5 linked regions of the Xenopus tropicalis genome follow. The protein of the gene in region 3 purifies or fractionates together with the protein of the main gene of each other region. This does not show direct contact. Links are inferred from orthologs where the notes say so. Each region holds a gene or a part of one and is shown on either strand. Other genes may lie near its edges.

Evidence for each region.
Region 1: the proteins of bsg (region 3) and plasma membrane calcium-transporting ATPase 4 purify together in Homo sapiens (affinity purification with mass spectrometry; 3 studies listed by BioGRID and IntAct, counting the BioPlex papers as one, with this or other methods). This does not show direct contact. The link is inferred for Xenopus tropicalis from reciprocal best matches to the Homo sapiens genes BSG and ATP2B4.
Region 2: the proteins of bsg (region 3) and sympk purify together in Homo sapiens (co-immunoprecipitation; 3 studies listed by BioGRID and IntAct, counting the BioPlex papers as one, with this or other methods). This does not show direct contact. The link is inferred for Xenopus tropicalis from reciprocal best matches to the Homo sapiens genes BSG and SYMPK.
Region 4: the proteins of bsg (region 3) and vdac1 purify together in Homo sapiens (affinity purification with mass spectrometry; 3 studies listed by BioGRID, with this or other methods). This does not show direct contact. The link is inferred for Xenopus tropicalis from reciprocal best matches to the Homo sapiens genes BSG and VDAC1.
Region 5: the proteins of bsg (region 3) and ppia purify together in Homo sapiens (affinity purification with western blotting; 4 studies listed by BioGRID and IntAct, with this or other methods). This does not show direct contact. The link is inferred for Xenopus tropicalis from reciprocal best matches to the Homo sapiens genes BSG and PPIA.

Annotation. Positions count from the first base shown.
Region 1 is NC_030678.2:70,209,728-70,213,786, reverse strand, and holds part of plasma membrane calcium-transporting ATPase 4, read left to right. Parts: intron 1-964; coding exon 965-1,072; intron 1,073-1,618; coding exon 1,619-1,801; intron 1,802-4,059. UniProt on the Homo sapiens protein: Calcium/calmodulin-regulated and magnesium-dependent enzyme that catalyzes the hydrolysis of ATP coupled with the transport of calcium out of the cell. By regulating sperm cell calcium homeostasis, may play a role in sperm motility.
Region 2 is NC_030684.2:70,980,189-70,985,043, reverse strand, and holds the start of sympk (symplekin), read right to left. Parts: upstream 2,932-4,855; 5' UTR 2,850-2,931; intron 2,846-2,849; exon of another isoform or gene 2,777-2,845; intron 2,649-2,776; exon of another isoform or gene 2,422-2,648; intron 2,155-2,421; 5' UTR 2,149-2,154; coding exon 2,074-2,148; intron 1-2,073. UniProt on the Homo sapiens protein: Scaffold protein that functions as a component of a multimolecular complex involved in histone mRNA 3'-end processing. Specific component of the tight junction (TJ) plaque, but might not be an exclusively junctional component. May have a house-keeping rule.
Region 3 is NC_030677.2:105,652,490-105,657,265, forward strand, and holds the start of bsg (basigin precursor), read left to right. Parts: upstream 1-1,900; 5' UTR 1,901-1,931; coding exon 1,932-2,001; intron 2,002-4,776.
Region 4 is NC_030679.2:22,883,318-22,887,376, forward strand, and holds part of vdac1 (voltage-dependent anion-selective channel protein 1), read left to right. Parts: intron 1-2,243; 5' UTR 2,244-2,246; coding exon 2,247-2,313; intron 2,314-3,001; coding exon 3,002-3,051; intron 3,052-3,887; coding exon 3,888-4,040; intron 4,041-4,059. UniProt on the Homo sapiens protein: Non-selective voltage-gated ion channel that mediates the transport of anions and cations through the mitochondrion outer membrane and plasma membrane.
Region 5 is NC_030679.2:126,270,481-126,275,115, reverse strand, and holds the start of ppia (peptidylprolyl isomerase A (cyclophilin A)), read left to right. Parts: upstream 1-1,460; 5' UTR 1,461-1,543; coding exon 1,544-1,612; intron 1,613-4,635. UniProt on the Homo sapiens protein: Catalyzes the cis-trans isomerization of proline imidic peptide bonds in oligopeptides.

The sequences.
Region 1 (4,059 bases), on a different chromosome or scaffold from region 3:
TAAAAGAATATTACAATATTTTATGGTGATTGTTTTTTTTTTTTTAAAGAAAAAAATCACCCCTTTCTTTAAATCCCTATTGGATTTTTAGACAAGTATTTATCAATGGGTAAAAGTTGGAGTTTACCATTTTATAAATATGCTTTTAAAATGCCATAAAACTAATAGAAATGGGGGGGGGGTTCTGTCATTAGCTTACTATTTTTATATAACAAAGCTTTTAAACATGTATTTGATTAGATTATGATCCCGCAACTTGAAAGACTGAAGAAAGGTCTACTCTACAAGAAAAAATATGATTACTTTGAACAAACTAAATGTAGTGGATTGCTTGTGTTTAGTCAGTTAAGGGGATATTCAGGTTTTTAAGCCATATTCTTAAACAACCATTTGTTTCATATAAATCAAATTTTTAATTTATTATCGTTGAAAATATGTATCGTTTTTAGTTAGACGCCTAGTTATTTAGCGAATCAAAGTGAAACAGTCCTACAGGTGCGGATGCTCTCTACGAAGTTCGGAATATTGCAGCACAATTAGACGACAGTGCGCAAGAGCTTCCTTTTTATGGTCATTTGCATATCAGTGACCTGATTTGCAGTTGTTAGCAGCTACTTGGATAAAGGACATGCATATAAACATGAAGAAAGAGGGTTATGTGCAACATTGCCGCAACATTGGGCTACAGATTTACAGCATTCTGAATAACCAACAGGAGGCAGAGGAGTGCTGACACAGCCAGGGTGTCAACAATCCCATGCAGAGTTGGTTTGAAGAAATACTATGGGACTACGTATGTTTTTAATGACAGAACTTTGCAAATATGTTTTACATAAAGAAACTGATTGTTTAACATTGTGTCTTGTAAAGGTGACATCCCCTTTAAGTTTTTTATTTACACACAATACTTACTACTCTGCAAACAAATGTTTTGTTCCCTAACTCTTTATATCTTTTCCTTTAGATAATAATTGTGGAGTTTGGAGGAAAGCCATTCAGTTGCTCTGGCCTTACTTTGTCACAGTGGTTCTGGTGTATCTTCATTGGGGTTGGAGAGCTGTTGTGGGGACAGGTTGGTGTGTCTCTAATGTGTTTTTGTAGCATGCCATTCCATGCCAGGTACCACTACATCATATAGCGGCATTCTTGACGTGTGGCATTTTTGACATGTGCTTCCTAGTGTGGGGAGGGCCCATTCCTGTTTAAACAGTATAAAAGCATTATGTGAAAAGTAAGGTCTATACAGAAGTGGTTTGCTGAAATGGAGTGGAGGATCTTAACTGGCCTGCACAGACCCTTAACCCAAGAGGACACAGGTGGGATGAAATAGAATGGAATGGAAATTAAAGCTCAGCCTGGTAACTGAACATTGCAGCTCAGCCACTTACATTTAAATCTCCACCAAGAGCAATGGTTAAAGTTTCTTTTGACAGCAAAGAGAGGACCAATTTCTTATTAATACCCTTTGTTTTGTATTGGATGTTGGACTGTTGGGTGTCCACATACATTTGACGATATAGTATACCCTCATATCATTCATAACTTTTAATACAGCTTTTTATTTGCGCCTTCTTTTTTTTTTCTCTGCTTACTATATATAATTTCCTTAATACTACAGATGATTTGCACAATACCCACCAGCCGACTCAAGTTCCTAAAAGAGGCTGGCCATGGGCCACTGAAGGAGGACATTCAGCAGGAGGAACTTACAGAGGATGTAGATGAGATTGACCATGCAGAAATGGAGCTTAGGAGAGGCCAGATTTTGTGGTTCAGAGGCCTAAACCGAATACAGACTCAGGTATATACATTTTATGACCTATGCCTTTGTGAAGTCCATGGTATAAAAAGATAGACATAACATGGAAAATAGGAGATCTCACAAACATTGATGGAGGAATTTCTACATAAACCAAATATTGTGAAAACCCTACTACACCTTGTATATTAGTAGCCACCCCTAAATTATTAAATGTTGCAGAACAAAGTTGTTACAACTCCAATATATTCACAAAACCCACAGACAGGGAAGAACCACATGATACAAAATATTTAGAATATGCTATCTTTATATATTACCTTTTATTATTGTATTTTATTGTGGGAAGTACATTTTACCCCTATCTGACGATTTAGTGCTAAAATGCTTGCCTTTGCTCGGGCGCCTTTGAAGGCTTGATCTTTGAGACAACCGATATTCAAATCCTTTGCCAATATTGATAACCTCGTCTTCTGCCATACACACACCAAATATTGTAAGAAACAAAATATTGGTGCATGTATGGCTACCTTTAGAAAATGAAATAAAAGATCTGAATGGTTGCTATGGGCAACATCACTGGTGACTCCAATGTTAGTACACACTCAATTGTCAATTGCTTCCACCAGCAAACTTGATATCCAAGATATCTACATTAATGTTCGTATATATTTATCTGAGCCATCAGTCTTATATAGCCTGTCCGCAAACAAGCAAGCTTCATCCCAAGAAAGAAGATATGTTATTAATTGAGCCTTCACTTATTGCCCTATTTTCATTGTTTGGGCAACATAAATCTGAATGTAAATCTGTTTAAAAAAAATTCAACATATCCATGTTAACAATCTATTTCAGTATCATTAAAAAAAGTAGCTTTTGGCAGAGAGCCCATAAAGTTAACAAGCCACACTTGATCTTAGATACAGTTGTAAATAATAAGCTTAACAAGTCTCTTGGGGAAACTGAGACTTGCAGCTCAAAGGGCAATTTCACCTTTTTTAGCAAAACTGTAATATCACAAAACAAGACCACAAAACCCCCAGAAATGAGTTCAAACTTTAAAAAACCTGCCAAATTTTGTAAAATGCGAGTGGTATTTAGGCTGTGTGGGTGCAAAAATTAGCGTTGTCAAAACATTTTTGCCACGCTGCAAGCAGCATTTCCTTTTGTCCTTCTTTGCATTTTTTAAATGTTGGGAGGTATGAGTATTATGTCCTTTAAAAAAGAAAAGATCAAATTAAGATATTTCAGCAAATACTTGTGGTGTAGTATTTATACTTACACAAATCCCTAAAAGTACTTTTGCCACTTGAAAACAAAATAAATTGTCCTGGATCTTTTCTACAGATGCAGAAACATCCACACTTATCTGGTCAGACCAAACATTGCTTTTTTTGTGGTGTTTCTCAAAATGTGGTGTTTCTCAGTCTTTTTCTCATACCCTTTTTGTTTTATGTGAAATTTTTGCAATCAGTGTTTCTGTTTCCTGGGACTTCAGTCAGTGTGTGTGGAACACACTAATTACATCTGCACCTGTAAGTCACTGGTTTAAAAATGTGTTTTGGCTTTTTTTAACTCCTTACATTGTAAATGAATATGTACACATTGCCTTCAGATGCCTTATTTTAAAGGAAAATGGTTGCTTCTTAAAGCATTTTTTCCTGAATAGATATGTTGTAGATCTATTTCAGCTGACTAAATGAGGGAGTGTGTCATTTAATGGGAAATGCTTTATTCTAAAAGCTATTAGGGTTTAAAGTAGTATTTTTGTCAATATGCAGCTGCTTACTGTACTATGTCTTACCAGTTTAACCAGGAAGATCTTTTTTACAGGCTTTGGGAAAATAGCTACACAAGATTTGATTTTTTGATAAGAACTTGGTGCTGGGAAATGGAATTACTTTTGAATTAGCATCTGCAGAAAAAAACATACCTCATATTATCTGGAAGAGCTATTTGCTTTTTCTTTAAATAGGAGCAATTTAATGTCATTTTAATGTTTTTAGGGTGTAATAGTTTGCCATAAACATCTCAGATTAATGGAGTTGGCTGTAGACTTTTGTTTAAGCCCTCCAACGGGATGGATCAGCTTTTTATTAACCTTCAGTCATTTCACTGTTCAATAAAATTGGGTTAAACTTTCATCTTGAAAACTCTGTTGTTAAAATGAATAACATGTTTTCCTTCTGTGATCTGCTTTTCTAATAACATTTGTTTCTATTCCAAAGTGCTGTTTTTCTTTCCCTTGAACGTACCTGTTACAACCATTATTTATTTCTCTACTACTATTTTTTTCTTTT
Region 2 (4,855 bases), on a different chromosome or scaffold from region 3:
TTAACAACCCCTGCCTGATATAGGATTTCAGCTGCTCAGCAGTTGTATTTTTTATTTCATACTGTGCAAAATTTCAGTGGGTGACAGGGTTAGACTGCTGTTGTAACACATGCAGAATGCAGTTTGGCATTGTCTTGCTGGAACAGGCAAGGTCTTCCCTAAAAAAAAAAAACATAATCGGAATAGCAGCATAGTTTGCTCTAAAACCTGCATATATCTTTCAACATAATTTCCAAGATGTGCAAACTACCCATTCTGTGTGCACTAATGCACCCCCCATACCATCATGGATGCTGGATTTTAAACTGTGTGCTTATAACAAGCAGGGCTGTCCTTCTCTTTAGCCCAAAAGAAGGACCATTTATGATCACCATCTATGATTTCCAAAAAGAATTTTAAATTTTGATTTATCAGACCACAGGACACATCACATCAGCCTTCACCACTTCAACTCAGTTTATCTTAAATAAGCTTGGGTCCAGAGAAAGTTGCTGTTTTTCTGGATCAAGTTTATTTATGATTTCTTTTTTGCGTGGTAGAGATTTAACTTGTATTTGTGGATGCAATGACTAACCATGTTCACACAAAATCATTTTCAGGAAGCAGTCCTAAGCCCATGCAGTGATTTCTACTACAGCAGTCCTGTCTAATTTATTAAATGTAGTTGGCCAATAATTTCTCATTTTCATGTTTGAGGACCAGATTATATTAAAATGATGATGTTTGGAAAGATGTAAGAGAAGTTATGTTCGACCATCTTTCACCTAATAATTTCCTTGACTACATCAGAGGAGGAAACAGACCAGCAGCTAGTGCTGTTGTTACAAAATGAATTCAAATTAACAGTACACATTCTCCTTAATATCTTCAAATCTTGGGGAAAAAATGAATGCTAAGTGCAAAAGTGCTTAGAATAGTGCTCTCATCAATTTCTTTTCAATAATTTTTATTTGCATTTTAACTTTTATAGAGTGGATGTCAGAATAAAGCAATTTCGTATTAAACAGCATTTATCTTTAAAAGAGAAGAAAATAAAAAAAAAGGGGGGGGGGGAATTAAGAAGTAGCCCCACTCTAAGTGGATAATGGGGTTAAAGCTCTCATCAATTTCATATTCATTTAAAGGTTAACATTCTTTAACAGCTGACTAGAGCACACTTAACATGTGTCACATACACATCTAACAAAATCCAAGATGAGGAGCTCCTTTGTCTTCATTTTTTATCGTTTTCAAATTATTTACCTTCCATGTCTACATCTTTCCAGCTTTGAAATGGTGGTCGCTAACACCGACAGCCAAAAACTATTGCTTTGTGAGCTCACAGTTTTAATATTCTTGCTACTTTTTTCCCTTATCTTTCTATTCAGTCCCTCTCCTATTCATATTCCAGGATCTCATTTAAAGGAACAGTAACCAAAAAATTCAAGTGTATAAAAGAAATTCCAATATAATGTACTGCTGCTCTGCACTGGTACAAACTGTGTTTGCCTCAGAATCACTACTATGGTTTATATAAAGAATGCAGCTGTGTAGCCATGGGGGCAGCCATTCAAAGGAGAAAAGGCACAGGCACTTAGCAGATAACAGATAAAACACTATTGTATTCTACAGAGCTTCTTCTAACTCCATGTAGCTTTCAAATGGGGATCACTGACTCCAGCAGCCAGAAAACTATTGCTCTGTGAGGCTACAATTTTACTGTTTCTTTTAATAACTTATTTTTCTATTCAAGTCCTATTCATACTCCTGTTTCTCATTCAAACCACTCCCTGGTTGCTAAGGTAATTTGGACCCTAGCAACCAGATAGCTGCTGAAATCAAACTGGAGAGCTGCTGAACAAACACTGAAATAATTAAAAAACTACAAATAATAGAAAATGAAGACCAATTGCAAACTGTCTTGGAATATTACTCTCTACAGCATAATAAAAGTTAACTCAAAGGTTAACAACCCCTTCCCAATCACAAGGTACCAGAATCTAAAACAATATATCACTGTAACCCTTTAAATGAAATTATATCATCGCCAATAGATCTCCAGTTATACATCCAGTTTGTACAGTACACTCTTACCCTCTCAGATGTGGATACAACTTCTGATGTCCCCTCCTCTTGGGAGAAGAACTGGGATGCCATACTGACTGCCATGGGTGACTAAAATAAAGATAAAAATTGAAATTAGTTTAAAAAAAATAAAAACAGTTCATGTGTACTTGCACCCAATAGAAGGAGCCCAGATATGTTTATGTTGTGTGTGTGTCAGGTGTAAGGATAAATTCAAATAACCAGAGCCTTAGTATAAGGCCAACATTGATACATATAAATAAAAGGCTGCGTTTACCAAAAGGAAGGGGGAGGTATAAAAGGAACCTTTTTGGTAACACAATTTCTGCCCTATCAGAATTCAGTTGTGGTGTTACAGTTACGCTTTGCATGTATGCAGGATCCACAGTTTTGCAAAATAGGCGCCCAATAAATATTAAGGTCCATGTCACCTTCTAACATTATTGGTACACTCCACTACCGGTAATGGATTACAGAGAACTAAAGCGAATAAGATTTTGAATTGAAAGGTACTAGAAGAAGCAGCACAGTGACCCTAGCAGAGGTAATCGTACATTAGTTCCAATGACTAGCGGCTGGCAAAGGTAAGAGAACTGTGTTACTGTAGCATAAAGTCCATAATTGGTTTATACAGAGGATTTGTCAATATCTACTTCGTTAGCACTCCCCGACTCTTTCTAATTCAACATTTAAACATACTACCCAACAGTACCGCTTTTCCCAACAGCCCACAGTCCTAGATCGCTATTTACCGGTCCCTAAGCTATTATTTGCAAACTCCGTACCTCCTGTCTTACAGGAAATCCCGGCCCACAAGTCACATCACGCGAGACTTGCGCCAGGACTACACGTAAGCGCGGTGACGCATTACGTAGCCGACTTTTTGGAGAGGGACGGCATAACTCAACGTTACAAAATCGGAAGTTGCAGGAAAGCGGTGGTAGGCATGTTCACAACATGTTATCTGCTGCTCGCACCTCCTACTATTGATAGAAAAGAACTAATAAAGAACTTCATTTCATCTTGGTTCTCCGTCCTGCTCTCCCTGCCTCTGCTCAAATATTTCCTGAGATGTCATTTATATTGTCTGCTCAGAGCTCGGACCTGTGGCAGGGGACTGAAAGAAGACATTTATTCTTGTTGGCAAAACTACATGTGGCTGTTAGAGCTGTGTCTCCCAATTTGACCAAAAGACAAACTGCTTTTGTTTAAACTAGGGCCAGGTGAAATTGAGTCACGTTTTTAGGTCTTTGTACCTTAAAGGAACAGAAACACCAAAAAATGAAAGTGTATAAAAGTAATTACAATATAATGTACTATTGCCCTGCATTGCTACAACTGGTGTGTTTGCTTCAGAAGACTACTATAGTTTATATAAGTAAACTGCTGTGTAGCCGTGGGGGCAGCCATTCAAAGGCGAAAAGGCACAGGTTACATAGCAGCTAACAGATAAACCCCCATTATATGGGGCTTATCTACTAGTTATCTGCTATGTAACCTGTGCCTTTTTTTCAGCTTGAATGGCTGCCCCCATGGCTACACAGCAGCTTATTTATACAGTAGCTTTTCTGTAGCAAAAACACCAGTTTTTTGTAGAGCAACAGCACATTATATTTTAATTACTTTAAAACATTAATTTTTTGATGTTACTGTTCCTTTAAGGGCTCTGGCACACGGGGAGATTAGTCGCCCGCGACTAATCTTCCCGAACTACCATCCCACCGGCGAACATGTAAGTCGCTGGTGGGATGATACACGCTGCACAGGCGATTTCGGCAAATCGCTGAAGTTGCCTCGCGAGGCAATTTGCCAAAATCGCAAAAAGTCACTGAAAGCTACCGGTCTGTATGGCTCTCATTGGCGCCTTCAAAAACTTTTTCTATTTGAATGTGGCTCACTGGTATAAAAGGTTGGCAAATGCTGTTTTAAGGTGGCCATACACGGGCTGCCGACAACGATCCCTTAGACTGATTCGGCAGCTTATTGGCTGGGCCTGCCCGACCGGCATCTGGCCTGCAATCACCCAGATCTCAATCAGGCAGGTTTGAAAATTAGTTGGATCGGGGACCGCATCCGCTCGTTGATACGGTCCCTGAACCGGTTGATGCCTATACCCGTCATTCTCCAGGGCCAAACAGCCGAATTAGCTCGATATTGCCCACCCATAGGTGGGGATATCAGGAGAAGATCCGCTCACTTGGGGACCTTGCCAAACAAGCGAATCTTAGTGTGTATGACCAGCTTTTGATGATGGATTAATAAAGACTTTTTTATCATTGATAAAAACCTTAACCCACACCCGAACCTAACCCACAAAATGTTGCCATAGTTGGACCCATACCTTTCTGGTATGAACACTACTTCTGTGCATGCCTTAGGTTCCAAGACAGAGAAACACTGGGTGCAGAGGAATAGTGTACTTCCCTAGTCTGACCTGCACCAAACACAAACCTGCAATGGTTGTTCAAATTTCAACCCTAAACCTATTTCTCTGGGAATTTATCACAAATCCCAGAAACTGAATTTTTCTCCTGGGGGATTTCTGGGTGTTCATTATCCATCCAAGATAATGAAGGAGCCCACCATGATGATAAAAAGGTATATTCTGTTAGTGCTATAAGCACAAAGATAAAGATTTAAACAAGAGGAGCTTAAAGGACATGTAAACCCTACATTTTACCATGTATAAAGGTTGGGCACATCAAACTGCATCATTTGTACTGCATATATTCACTCTGTTTGCAAGCACCTCATATTTTTCCAAAAACAAACAGCAGCTTTCACCTGGCAG
Region 3 (4,776 bases):
AATATTCACTGTATCTACAAATATATTTCAATTGAAATTAGATTTCAGATTTAGATTGAAACTGAAACAAAAACAGTTGTCCACATTTTGTGTAGCAGAAAAATTATCCTCTAAACATTATGTTGATATAGTATAAATAAGACAGTGAAACCCCTAGGTAGCCTGGGGACTGTCAACATTTCTAGAGGGTTACATTACATTAATCCTAAAGGCCTACAGCTGTACAACCCTGATAAGGAAAAAATATCACGTGCACACCAAGGCCTCTATGTACTGTATGCTTGGTGCTCAGTTTATCAGTAGCTGACATTCCCCCCCAAAGAATCACTCAAAAGTAAGGCTACTGTCACACAAAGCTAATCCGAGGGAGTCTAGCCCTTAAATGTATATTAAATAAGCTATACAGTCCTGCCATGGAGAATCAGATGTCCAGCAGGGAGCAACACAGTTAAAAGTTTGCAATGTCTGAAATATATAGTCAGGGACAGCTTTTGAAATACAGTAAATAAGTATGCTTAAAAATTAATATATCTGGAGGCATATCATGATCCTGGGTCCTTTAACAAAAAATAATTTTAAGCCCTCTCCACCCTGCAAATGATCCTAAGAAGGAACAGTTTTCCCTGGCCTCCCCACAGCTGTGGGAAATTCACCCCAATAATTATATCACTGCAATATACGCTTAATGTTTTTATTGCACCTGGTGCACATTTTTTTGTACAGGCTGCCTTCTATCCTATTGCTAGGCATACACATGCCAATATTGCCACTCCTGACCAAGTCTACAGCATAATGGCTGCAACAGCCACCCCAGCTGTGATTTGACTGGAGTTTTAAAACCACTTGGCCCACCACATAGGAAAGGTATCTGCTTGTTTCGCAAATATGTCTTTATTTAGCTGTTTATTTTCTTTGGACTGCCAGAAATTACTCCCTACAATGTAGCAAAAGCTAACTGATTAACAGTTAGCAGGCCTATAATAAAGAACTAGTTTTATGGGGGTGTAATAATAAGTGAAACTCAAACAAATACAGTATATAAAGTTCATATTTGGCTTTAATTTATGGGGCCAGCCTCTAATAACTATTATCAATTTGCCTAAGTGGAGATATTTTAAACTCCCGACCTCTAGTGCCCTTGGGAGGGCAGAAACATGCACCTGTTCTTATAAAGCAACAATACCAAAAATGTGTCACGCAATAAAGACCTTAAAATGTGCGTCCTAAACCCACGTTCAAAGTGCATAATGCATGTGATAATTTAAGGCTCTAACAAGAGAATCTTTCAACTCAGGATAGACTAGAAAAAAATATAATAACACTGAAGTGCTGAGGGCGTGGCCGCCATTTTGGTGAGAACGCTTCCGCAACGACATTCGTGTGTACGTGCTTAGCTTGTGGTATACAGCCCTGTTATTACACTGTTTCTGTGTCACCATCCTATTTAACTCAATCACGCCCTAGAATATTATGGTTACACATAATAATGATGAAACCATAACTAGATTATATAAACATATAACATGGTATAAGGGGGCCCATATATCATAATTTATATCTAATTTGCAACAGATAAATAACTATAAAACTGAAATCTATCACTTGGAAAACCGCAAACCCCAAATCGCTATTTTCATTACCAACTATCCCTATAATACAGCTGATGGCAAGGCAAGCGGCAGACCTCTAGGTAAAGAAGGACTACATTTCCCAGAACTTGCCAGTAGAAATTGTAGTTCATTGACTGCTGACAATTTTAATTGGTGGCCTTCGTATTCTACGGCATAGGAAAACGCGAAAGCGAGGCGTGGGAAGCATGAAGCCACGCCTCCCAGGCGGCAATAAATGATCGTGTGATTCTAGGAGGTGTTAGTTGGCTGGGAGACATAGCTGCGAGGTGATTGAAGGTCTTGCTGATAGACGGCAGGAACATGGGGCTCGGGCTGCTTCTGCTGCCCGCGGTGCTGGCGTTGTTATGTGGGAGAGAAGCTGAGTGTACAGGTAATAAAAAGAACATCGGGGATGCCTGGATAAGCGAGACTATTAGAGAAGCCTTTGGGCACTAGCAATAGTTTGCCCTGCCATGATCCCGTTTTAGGGTTTGCTGTGTAAGGTTGTGTGGGGTATCCGCAGTCGGAGTAGAGGGTGGGGAAGGACGTGGTACAATTGAAGGGCGCCCTGAAGATCTGTTTCATCTGATCAGTTATTTCTGAGGGGGACCTAATTTTTTATTGCTGTAATGGGCTCTTGGCTGACAAAGTGGAAATCTGTTGTGCCAGATACTAAACCATGTGATGGGGTCTCTTATAGGCTGGGGAAAACCGGTATTGGCCTAGTCCGCCTCTAGTAGTGTCTGCGCCATGATTAAGGTACTTCGCTCGCCTAGGTTTTTTTTTTTTTTTTTTTTTTTCGAACACTGGGTTGTTCTTGATTCTTGTCATAGGCACATAATTTGCTTACGAATTAAAAATGCTACGAGTATAGATAGAAATAGATACTATTATATGTATAGATGAGGGACTAATTATATATATATATATATATATATATATATATATATATATATATTAAAAATTTTCATGAAAAGAGGGTATACTGATCTTTCAAGGTAAGGCTTGGAAATGGCTACTTAATAGCTGACATAAATGCTGTTTGAGCTAAATGTATTTGCCTTGTAAAGCATGCAGCTCTAGTCTTTATATTGGTGGTTCCTGAACCAGAAATGTCTAACAAGTCACTTGTATTAGTGTTTCTAGTCTTGTGTTAATTACTAAACACGTTAATGGAATTGATGGTTCCGTTTTACATTTGGCTCTTTTTTTAGTTGGTATTGGTGATTTATTTTGCTTGGTTTTGTAACTCTGCCTTATGGTATTGATAAAGTGCATAATTGCAACTTGTATCAAAGCCAATAAATGAACATGTATTAAATAAGCACCAACATTTTGAGTATATTTGTAACTGTACATGCTTTGTATATTCTACATTGTACCTGAAAGTTGGAGATGTGTAACTTTACTGCAAGTTATGCTTGTTGGTTGTAATCCTTATCGGTATGATCCCTTGTGGTTTTGTGGGGTAGGTACTGATCCCTTTTTGTGCCCTACATTCTTTCTGCAGCTGTGATGGCACATTTAACTCACTAATGGCCACCTATGTGACTGCATGCTGTGGCTGGCGGCTGGCACTTGCAATGTACATGTTTTAAATGGAAATCAGCCATACATTTAAGGTCCCCATACACGGTAAGATCCGCTCGCTTGGCGAGATCGCCAAGCGAGCGGATTTTCCCCCGATATCCCCACCTACGGGTGGGCGATATCGGGGAGCTTGAAGTTAAAAAAAAAAAATAATAATAATAATCCAATCGTTTGGTCCTGGGGCCAAACGACCGGATTATGTAGGCGGCAATGGGGCAGTCGGTTCGGGGACCGCATCAACGAGCCGATGCGGTCCCCGATCCGACTGGATTTTCTAACCTGGCCGATCAATATCTGGCCAATTTCGGGCCAGATATCGGTCGGCCAGCCCACTCGTTTCTGCCCCTACACGGGCTGATAAGCTGCCGAGTCGGTGCCAAGCTTGGCATTTAGGGTGAATACACATGGAGCTAATAGTAGCACCTACTTGTCACAGCTAAAAAAAGACAATGCTGATCATTTACTGATAACTGTATGTTTGTCTGTGTGTTTTTATCAGAGGCAATATTCAGTATTGTCTATGGCAGGCTATTTTGTGGCATTTAGTTGCCTTGACAAGTCACTGCTACAAAGTCGCTCTGTCTTCACCCTTAGGGCAGTGACAGACGGGGAGATCAGTTGCCCCGTGACAAATCTCCCCACAATGCCATCCCACTGGCAAGAATGTAAATCACCGGTGGGATGGCATAGGCATCAGTACGATTTCCAGAAGTTGCTTGAAAGTTGCCCTGAGAGGAAACTTCAGGTGACTTCTGGAAATCTCCCCGTCTGTCACTGCCCTTAGGATGAAGACACGCTGAACTACTAGTAGCAGCTAATTTTTTTTAATGGCTACTAAGCTCCCTAAAATACCCTGCCATACACCATACTGAGAATTGCCTCTGCTAACACAGACAATTATCTGTAAATTATTAGCATTGTCTGTTTTAGTAGCCATGACAAGTAGCTGCTACTAGTAGCTCAGTGTGTCTTTGCACTTAACCCTACCAGGCAGGAGATGGCTTAAATGATATAACAGAACATTGTAATAACTGGGATGGATTTTTCCAAGAAATGCAATATAAGGACTTGATACAAACCTTTTTAGGGCTTTTCTACCTAAGCAAGAAATGACGTTCATTACAAGGCGAATGTCCCCAGAGACTGTTAACACTGAACAGCCTTTGGTTCAGAATAAAATTTGCCATTTTCTCAAATTGGGTGAAAATGGTGATTTTTATCACAGGAATGGTTTAACAGCATTGTTCGTTTGTTCAGGAGCTTATTTGATGGGCCATAGAGTTGCAGTTGTTCTCGCTTCCACACCTGCTGATGCCAAATCAGGTTTTAGCAGATAAGCATTTTAGGTGTGACATATTACAAAATGTCTTGTAAAAACTGCTTTTCCAAGGTGTCATACTGGCTTAGATGGTTGTTGTATGGAAAATGGCAGTGTGGTATGATCCGGTTCTAGAAGAGGCTCAGTGTGATTTGTTTTGTACTAATGGTAGTGGTCACTGATCATTCCTTCAGAAAATATATAACAATTGTCACATGAACTGTGCAATATTTTTTTGTTCTATAAACGTACAATATA
Region 4 (4,059 bases), on a different chromosome or scaffold from region 3:
ACGAGCGAAATCTCCTCGTGTATGGCCACCTTAAGAAATGCGTTTTCTGGCCAGCAGTAGAGACGAGGAAAAGGCATTCATACCAAACACAAAATAAAACACTGTAATTCCAATAGTTGCTTCTGAAAACAAGATGGCAATTGCTGAATCTTCCCTTGCAAGTGATAGGTGACACTGAACAGGCATGGTGCATGGTGGAAGCCAGTCTAAGGCTTAATGGAAGGTTTATTTGTTAGTTCAGCCCTTTTTACCTCTTGTATTGGTTGCTTTCTCTGTAATTCTGTATGTCTGGTGTATGAATCCATTTATTGTACAGTGCTGCGGAATGTGTTGGAACTTTATAAATACATGTTAATAATAGAAATAAGAATTTTGGCAGGGAAGCCATATAGGAGTCATATAACAGAAATAGGTTAGAGGAACAAGGAAAGAACAGAAAATAAGGAGCAGAACTCTTTATATACCTGCATAAAAAAAAAGGTCTTAAAAAAAAAAAAGGATGTTATCTTTTGGCAAAAACTTGTTTGGTCCCCCAACATCTAAGGTATTGCATACACACACAGCTGATATTAGCTGCTAGTTTGGCTTATAAAGACTGCTGGTTATTGGCTGTTTACATGGCCAAATTGCTCGCCTTTTCCATATCTGGCTGGATATTGGATTAAAGAACCCATCAGACAAGGAATTTACGGATGTAGGTCTCTCCCAATGGGTCTGCATAAGCCCTAGTTATGATCAGTTTGTTTGGCCTCATGCATCAATGAGCTAAGGCTACTGAACTAAATAGTCCAGGAGGGGGTTTATTGTTTATTTAGAGAATGCGTTATTATATTCATTTATAAAGTGGCAACATATTCTGTAGCGCTGTACATAAGGGCACATAATTTACATGAAACATAGCAGAGCTGATAGCAAACACACTGCAGTTAAACCAGCATAATTTTATATTTATACGCATTATAAAAAAATTGAATGTAAATTCAAATGAATCGTTCTAATCTTTTATATTACCGGTCCTTTAACAATGCCCACTGTTGAAAAAACGTTATGTAAATATCATTTTACCTTTAAAGAACCACATATATTTTGAGAGTAAGTGTGCTCAGTGTGGATAATCTAGGTTATACCAGAAGAATATAAGAGGTTTAAGATTACCCACATGGCCCCAGCCACAGGCAGCCATGCTTGCATGATGAATCTGTGTTGACAGTCTGCTTGGATATGCTAGGCTTGTCCGAGAATCATCTCCATATGACTTTGGTTTTATGATGCTTTGCAGTTCATTATAGCAATGCAAACGTGACTCCCTGCATCTGTAATGCAGCACTGAATGCTCTGTAAGTATAGCGTATGCTGCCGTGTGTGCAGCAGCTTGAAAAAAGCCTAGAATAAACTCTGGGTTAAAAGTGGCCCCTTTTGCCATACTGCTTAGCAATACAGCAACTGAGACATGGTGTGGAAAATCTACAGTGTAGTTGAGTGATAAATAATGTTTTGCTCATCAATTGTTTCAGCAGTAATCGTTTAAATTGTAAAGAATGGCTTAAGTACTGGGGGTACTATATTTTGCTGAAAAGCAGACAGGGCCAGTTTACTTTTCTAGTGTGTGCAATGCTGCCATCTTGTTTCCTATCCCTGTGCCTTATAGCTGCACTGTCCCATGCTTATGCTCTATAGCAGTGATCCCCAACCAGTGGCTCAGGAGTGACATGCTGCTCACCAACCTCTTGGATGTTGGTCCCAGGGCAGCAAAGTAGGTGCTCATTTTTTAATTCCTGGCTTGAAGGCAAGCTTCAGTTGAATAAAAACCCATGTGTCTTACAAGACAGAGCCTTGTGTAAGCTGCCAGTCATCATAGGGGATACGTTTTCCATGTTTGTGTTGCTTTACATCTTGCATCTATATGTGGCTCATGGGTGAAAAGGGTTGGGGACCCATGTTCTATAGAGTAAGATTCAGCTCTTACTCTCTAAGTTCCAGTTTAACTTCACAGCACATGTGCAGAGCCCATGGCAGCTGCAAGGGATCCCTGGCACAGAAGGCAAGATGGAGGCACAGTGTGCACTAAAATTGATATAAGCGATTATAATCACTGGGGGGTGCCTAACAAATTTGCTCTCCCATCCCAAAATTAACCCTTTTTGGCACAGGCCTACAGATATTTCATATTAAGGAACTTGTGTATTATCCTGTAATAAAAAAATTTCATTTATCTGAATGTTTTTTTTCTTTTTGGCCAACAGAAAATGGCCATACCTCCGGCATATGCTGATTTAGGAAAGTCTGCCCGAGACATCTTCACTAAAGGATATGGTAAGTATCTAGAGTAGAGTCTGGCAGGGTGAGGGTTAAAGGGTTATGGATGTGTAGCCATAGTTAATGAAGCAAACAGAGCTTTCACAAAGAAGAATGGTTTCTCTGTTGTGATTGGCTTATTCTTGCTGCTGATCTATATTCCTCAGCCTAGGGCGAGACTGGCTGTTAAAACAGGCTAGATCACTCTGGCGCAGCCAGTTTTAACATGCTCAGTGCCATGATACAAGCCTGTCTTTATACTCATTGCAGAATAAATTGTGCCTACTTTCGTATAATGCAGAAATTATTTTGAGACTTTAGATCTCTTTTAATGCATTACTGCCGAAGAAAATTTTACGAATGTTTTAGTGCTGGCTTTCTTTGTAAATTCAAAAAAGGGTTGTATTTAAATCTGAAGGTATCATTGACCTTTCCTTGCAGGTTAGGTTGCTTTATTAGATTAAATTCAGCCTAAGCTTTAAAAGGGTTGTCTACCCAAAAATGTTTTTGCAAGGTGAAAGAACATTTTTGGGGTTTTATTTAAAATTTGCTGCTGAGGGTTACTAACCACATAGGATAGAAAGTTACAGCTTTTTGAAACTGCAAAGAATGATCCTGTTGTATTTTGCTGTGAATTTGTAACTTTTCTATTGATTATGCCTGTTTTTATAGTCTTCTGGTTTCTACTGTTTTTGTTGTCTTTTAGGATTTGGGTTCATTAAACTTGATTTGAAAACGAAATCAGAAAACGGACTGGTAAGTCTAAATAGGTTGCATGGCAACACTCTTGCATATGAGTGGTATCTATATTGCCTAAACAAAACATTGTCTCTGCTACAGCTTCTTTATAGTTAGTAAGTGGGCATAATACTGTTTGTAATTCCATATTTGTTACTGAACAAAATGCTGTGTAAGTTTTTATTTTATTTTATTATTGAATGGCACTTTCAAAATAAACTCATCAACCTAAAACAAACAATTCCACAGTACATTATTTGTACATGTGTCTGTATTATTGTAAAGCCACAGTCACAAGAAATTGCAACAAACAATTGCCAGTGGTTTCCAGTTTTGTGATATTTTCTATATAATCCATGTAAATTTTCCTACAGGCTGTTCTTCCAAGCTGTCATTCTGCTGTAATTGGGGACAAATGCAAGTGCAAATTATTTTAGTAGAAGATAAAGCAGTTTTTTTTATATCAAGCACATGATTGTGGTAACATCCTGTTGCTTAGTTCTTTCACATCCGCTTCTTATTACACCCTTAAAACATCACAAATCATTTCAGGTTGTTTACCTCACCTTGTGCCTTAGTGCTTTTCCATAACATTCTCTAATATTACCTGCTTGCATGGTGTTTTTGACACATATTTAACATAATTCTGTTATTAGCAGCAGGTAAAGTATATTGCAACTATTGTATATATTGCAACTAATACATGTAGTTCTGTGTACCACTATAAGCGAAGGAATCAAGTCACTTCACGTTTGATAGGCGTCAGTGAACAGAAAAAGGATTGCACCATGTGGAACCATGATTACACAACTTCCAGTAACAGAATATTGTGTGTATACTTCTCTGACTTACAGGAATTTACAAGCTCAGGATCAGCGAATGCAGAGACTAACAAAGTTGCTGGCAGCTTGGAAACCAAATACAAATGGGCAGAATATGGCCTTACTTTCACAGAAAAGTGGAATACAGATAACACATTAGGGACAGAGATCACTGTAGAAGACCAGGTAAATATCCTAATTTGAG
Region 5 (4,635 bases), on a different chromosome or scaffold from region 3:
AATCCCGAATGAGAAAAATTCGGATTGGATACTATAATTTCTGAAGATCGCAAATATCACGAAAATGCTTACGAAAAAATTGTATTAGTCATGATAATATTGTATTGGTGATCCGAAAGTCACTAAATTTTCATACCGAACGATTGTAAACAGCGGGAAAACCTTTCTGATTTTTTCGCGCAAGCGTACGAAAAACTCGGCGAAAATACGCTCCGAGCGTTCATGTCCTAATAAATCTGCCCCTAGTTGTTTGCGTGTAGGTTTAGTAGGTCTTGCTTTCCTGGTAAGATAAAAAATGAAATGCTTCAAAACACCATCAATGTCAATGGGAATCACCGGTGGCCACCTGGCTTCTACATTTATAAACACACCTATCACTTTATTTTACGGTCGCCACATGGGTCACATCTGCACGTTTTGTCCCCTATTTTGTAGCTCTATAGATGGGCGTCAAAGCAGTTAAGCATTGTCCTTGTTTACCTCTTATTAAGCTCAAGCAATTATAACTAAGAGACGCTTTGGAGCAGTAATCACCTCAGCACTGAGCAGGCAAATGCCTCTCGAATTAATGGAAAGCAATTTATAATGCTGTATCGCCATTGTATGTATAACTTTATTTATAAAGTGCCACAAGGGTACGCAGCGCTGTACAGTCTTACAGAATACAAAATTACACACAGGGAGGACAAGTGATATAATAAATAAATACAATAAATATATATATCTATATCTATATATATATAAGTGCCATGTGGTATGAGACACAGTAGGAAGGAGGTCCCTGCCCCGTAGAGCTTACAATCTGAGTGGTTGGGTAACATACAGGCACAAACTGGAAGGTAAGAGTGCACCAGGTATGGGCATTTGCCCTTAAGAGCAGGACTGGGCAAAATAATGTTTCAGTGCTCCAGAAGGTAACAGCTGAGTTACAAAACGCTCAGGCGACAAAAACACTCAAAATCCCTATTACACCGGGTTTGGTTCGCTGCAGTCCACTCTCACTTTACTGCAACGCTGCAAATTTTTTTAGTGCACCTACAGAAAGAAGTATGTTGAAGGGCTTGCCAGAACTAGCTATTACACTTACTATTAGCCATTCATCAGCTATACGTTATGAAGAACGCTTTCCAGCAATGTCGTATAAAGCCACAAATGCATGCCGGATTACCCTATCCGCTGAATAGTGTTAACCCTGAGTTATAGCCCAAAGCGAAGGCAGCCACTCCCCGCGTCACAGCCGGACCGGCCCTCACCGCACCTCTACAGGCCGCGCCCAGGACTCCCGCGCTTCTGTGCCACACCTTATGAGCTCTCCTGCAGCCTACTATTGGCCCGCCGCGCTGTCAATCAGTACCATGGAACCATTCTATTGGTGTGTTTCCCTTAAACGATGCCAGGCGGGGCCAAGCTTCTCATATAATATCAGCCCCGCTTCCGTTTTTAAGCTCTTTTCCGTGGTTCTCTTGGGCTGTTTAGAGTTCAGGGGGTTAGGAAGCTGCACGTTGCGCTCACGGCAAGGCACTGTTTATTTTCATTCTGCACTATGGCTTTACCCAGGGTCTTTTTCGACATCGCCGTTGATGGCTGCCCGATGGGCCGTATTATCATGGAGGTAATGAGAGTAGACTCTTTACTGTCGGGGGAGGGGGGTGGCATTAAGTCTTGGCGCCATTTGTGAGAATGTCAGAAACTGCTGGTTTGATAGAGTCCGGTTGCACTTTCTTTGCGTGTGCCATGTTCCTGTGTGTGTGAGTGCGGCTCCCATGGGTGCTTGGGGCTAGCTGGAGCGATGGGGTGAGCCGGTCACATGACTGTAACACGATGGAATGGGCCGGGGGGGGTTCCATTGTTTGCTGCATGGTGCGGGGGCGTCACTGCGCTGCGGGTCTGGCCGTCTCCCCCAGCCCCGGGTGAATCTGCTGGCTGTATTGCAGCGTTATTCTTACCGCATACATGTTTCCTCGGTGTCACGTGATACACTAGGCTCTTGGTTGGGGGGGTAACTTGACGCCTTCTAGTCGTTAATATAAAGAAAATGACAATGTAACTGTATCACTAATGTATCATGTCCTGCTGTGCAGCGAGTTCATTCGCTGTTTGATAGTTATGGCTGTGATACATCCGCTGGGCAGCGTATTGGGCAAAATGGTCGGACTACAGCTCCCAGCATTCCTAGCGGAGGCAAGTACAGGGAGGGTAGTTCTGCCACATGTTGGTGCAAGAGCTGGGGGCTGCTGAGGGTGGCTATATATCATTTACTGTAAATATGGTACAAGTGAATGTCTGTTGCTAGGTCTTACTATACTAGGCCCTTTATTCGCTGGCTGGGAGAGCCCGCCTCCCGTGTGTCACTTCTATGGAGGGGGAGGAGGAATCCATTTTAGAAGAAATCAAGTAATGTGAAGATTTCTTGTTCTCAAAATGTCTGCTTGGTTGCTGAGCTGCTCAGCCCTGTGTTAGTGCGGGGTAGGTGTGCCCTGTGGGATGCCCCACTTGCTGGGGTGTGGGCATGGCGGGTATATTTAGTGTAGAATTCAAAGGGCTTTAATCACGCCGTGCCCTAGCGAGGAGACACCGCTCTGTGGGAAATACACCTGCTGCCTGGCCTAAAGGCTTTATGCACAAAGCCTGTCAGTGAGGGCTTATTGTTCCCTCAGGCTAATGCAGGGAGTGCTTTAGGGGCCCCAGCAGTGCATGTTGGGTGCATGGGTAATGCCATTGTGTATTGGTGCCAGGGGAAAGCTGATGTAGTCGCTCTGCATGGTTTGTGTCTAAAGGGATTGGAGCTGAGGGGCAAGTACGTGAGGTGCTGTCAGGGTTACTGTCCCCTTGGTGGCATGCAGGCCCCTCTCCCTTTCTTACTGCAGTGCCTGAGCCAGCAAATCCACATGGTGTGTATGTTATATGGTAGATATAGTGCATACTGATGGCTATATAGGGGATGGTAAATGCTTTATATTACTATGTACAGAACTGTGGCTGCATGGGTTTCTCTGTCCCAGGGTGTCCAATCTGCATGCACTTACTGCGCTTCATACAGGGGTTAAATCTGCTATTTATAGACTTATAGCGACGTAACTGAAGCCATATAAGGCATTTTCAGTTCTGCAGTCATGTTAATCCTTCCCCTGCATGAGCCTTTTTTTGCTTCACGTGGTGGTGGTCTGCCATAATCAAGCATAGGCATTGCCTTCCTGCCATCTTTGTGCCATGGTTCCCCCTCTAACACTGGTATGCAGGGCTAGCAACACTGCACCAAATGCGTTGGTCTCCTGCCTAAGCAAGGGCACGACTCCTGCTGATGTAATAAGGTTCACTTTAACTTTATTACATCTTGCACAATGAACTGCCTGGCATGCCTGTCCCCTCTCATGGTTAAATATTAATGCTCTTGCATATGCCATGCTGCATTATTAAGGGCATAAAAGCTACAGTGGGGTATCGGACAACAGAAGGTAGTTATGTGCCCTGGGTAATGCCGCCCCCCCAATCCCCCAGAAATGGCCATGTGCTGGTCAGTAATACGGATGGGTGCTGTGAGTGACCATACAAGAAGGGGCTCGGTCAGTACTGTGCATGTATGGCCAGGTTAAGGTTTGTATGCTGACGAGCAGTGCAATATAGTTACAAACCATCCGTCTAGTGGTGTCAGGCTTGGACTCTTGGCAGCAGTTTATTGTTTGTCTTCATAAAGTCTCAAGGCATCTGCAAGGGATCAACACTTCATAAATAGCCAGGAAGTGGGAGATGTGTTCTGTGCTGCAACCAGGCATCTTTGTATTCGGCACTTCCCTGTGGTGTCTACTCCCCAGTCAGGTCATGCCAGGGCCAGCCTTCTAATCTGCGTGTCCTTAATCCAGGGCTCCCCAGTCTTTTATACCTGTGAGACGGTTAAAATGTGAAAGTTGGGGAGCAACACAAGCATTAAAAATGTACCTGGGGTACCAAATTATGGCTGTGATTGGCTATTTGGCAGCCTACAGGCTGGTCTGTTTGCAACCAAAATTTGCCTCCAAGCCAGGAATTCAAATATAAGCACCTGTTTGAGGCCACTGGGAGCAAAAGCCAAAGGGTTGGTGGGTAACATGTTGCTCCCGAGCCACTGGTTGGGGGTCCCTGCCTTAACCTGAGTAGCAATCAGTCTGCCTTGTCCATCTGAGTCTGTGGATATTACCTTTACTAGTCAAATGGCATGTTTCTTTATCAAGCAGCCACATTTATGTTCTATAGCCTAAATGGCCTATGGAATGCAAGCCTATGTTAAATGGAATTAGTCAAATTATCATGGAATTTCAAGTATTGCTATAAAGGGAAAACGGTCTACAGTAGAAAAGACTAAGGTTAGCATGCAGTCTATTGTACAGTATCAAACAAGTCTGCGTTGGGCACTGGGCTACAGCCTGGCATGTGATGGGTGCCTACAGCTGTCATTCTGCCTCTGGTATTCAGTCTTAAACCATTCAGCCCCATGGCATCCCCACAACTATTCCCAGGGTGGAGTTCCTGCCCCTCTGACTGCACCCTGCTAGTACTACTAAGCTGTTCATAGTTTAGGAATAAAGTGCTACGTAAACCAGTAGAGGTTACCAGGGGACAATACGTTGTATAATAAGATACACATGTGCATGTCCGTAA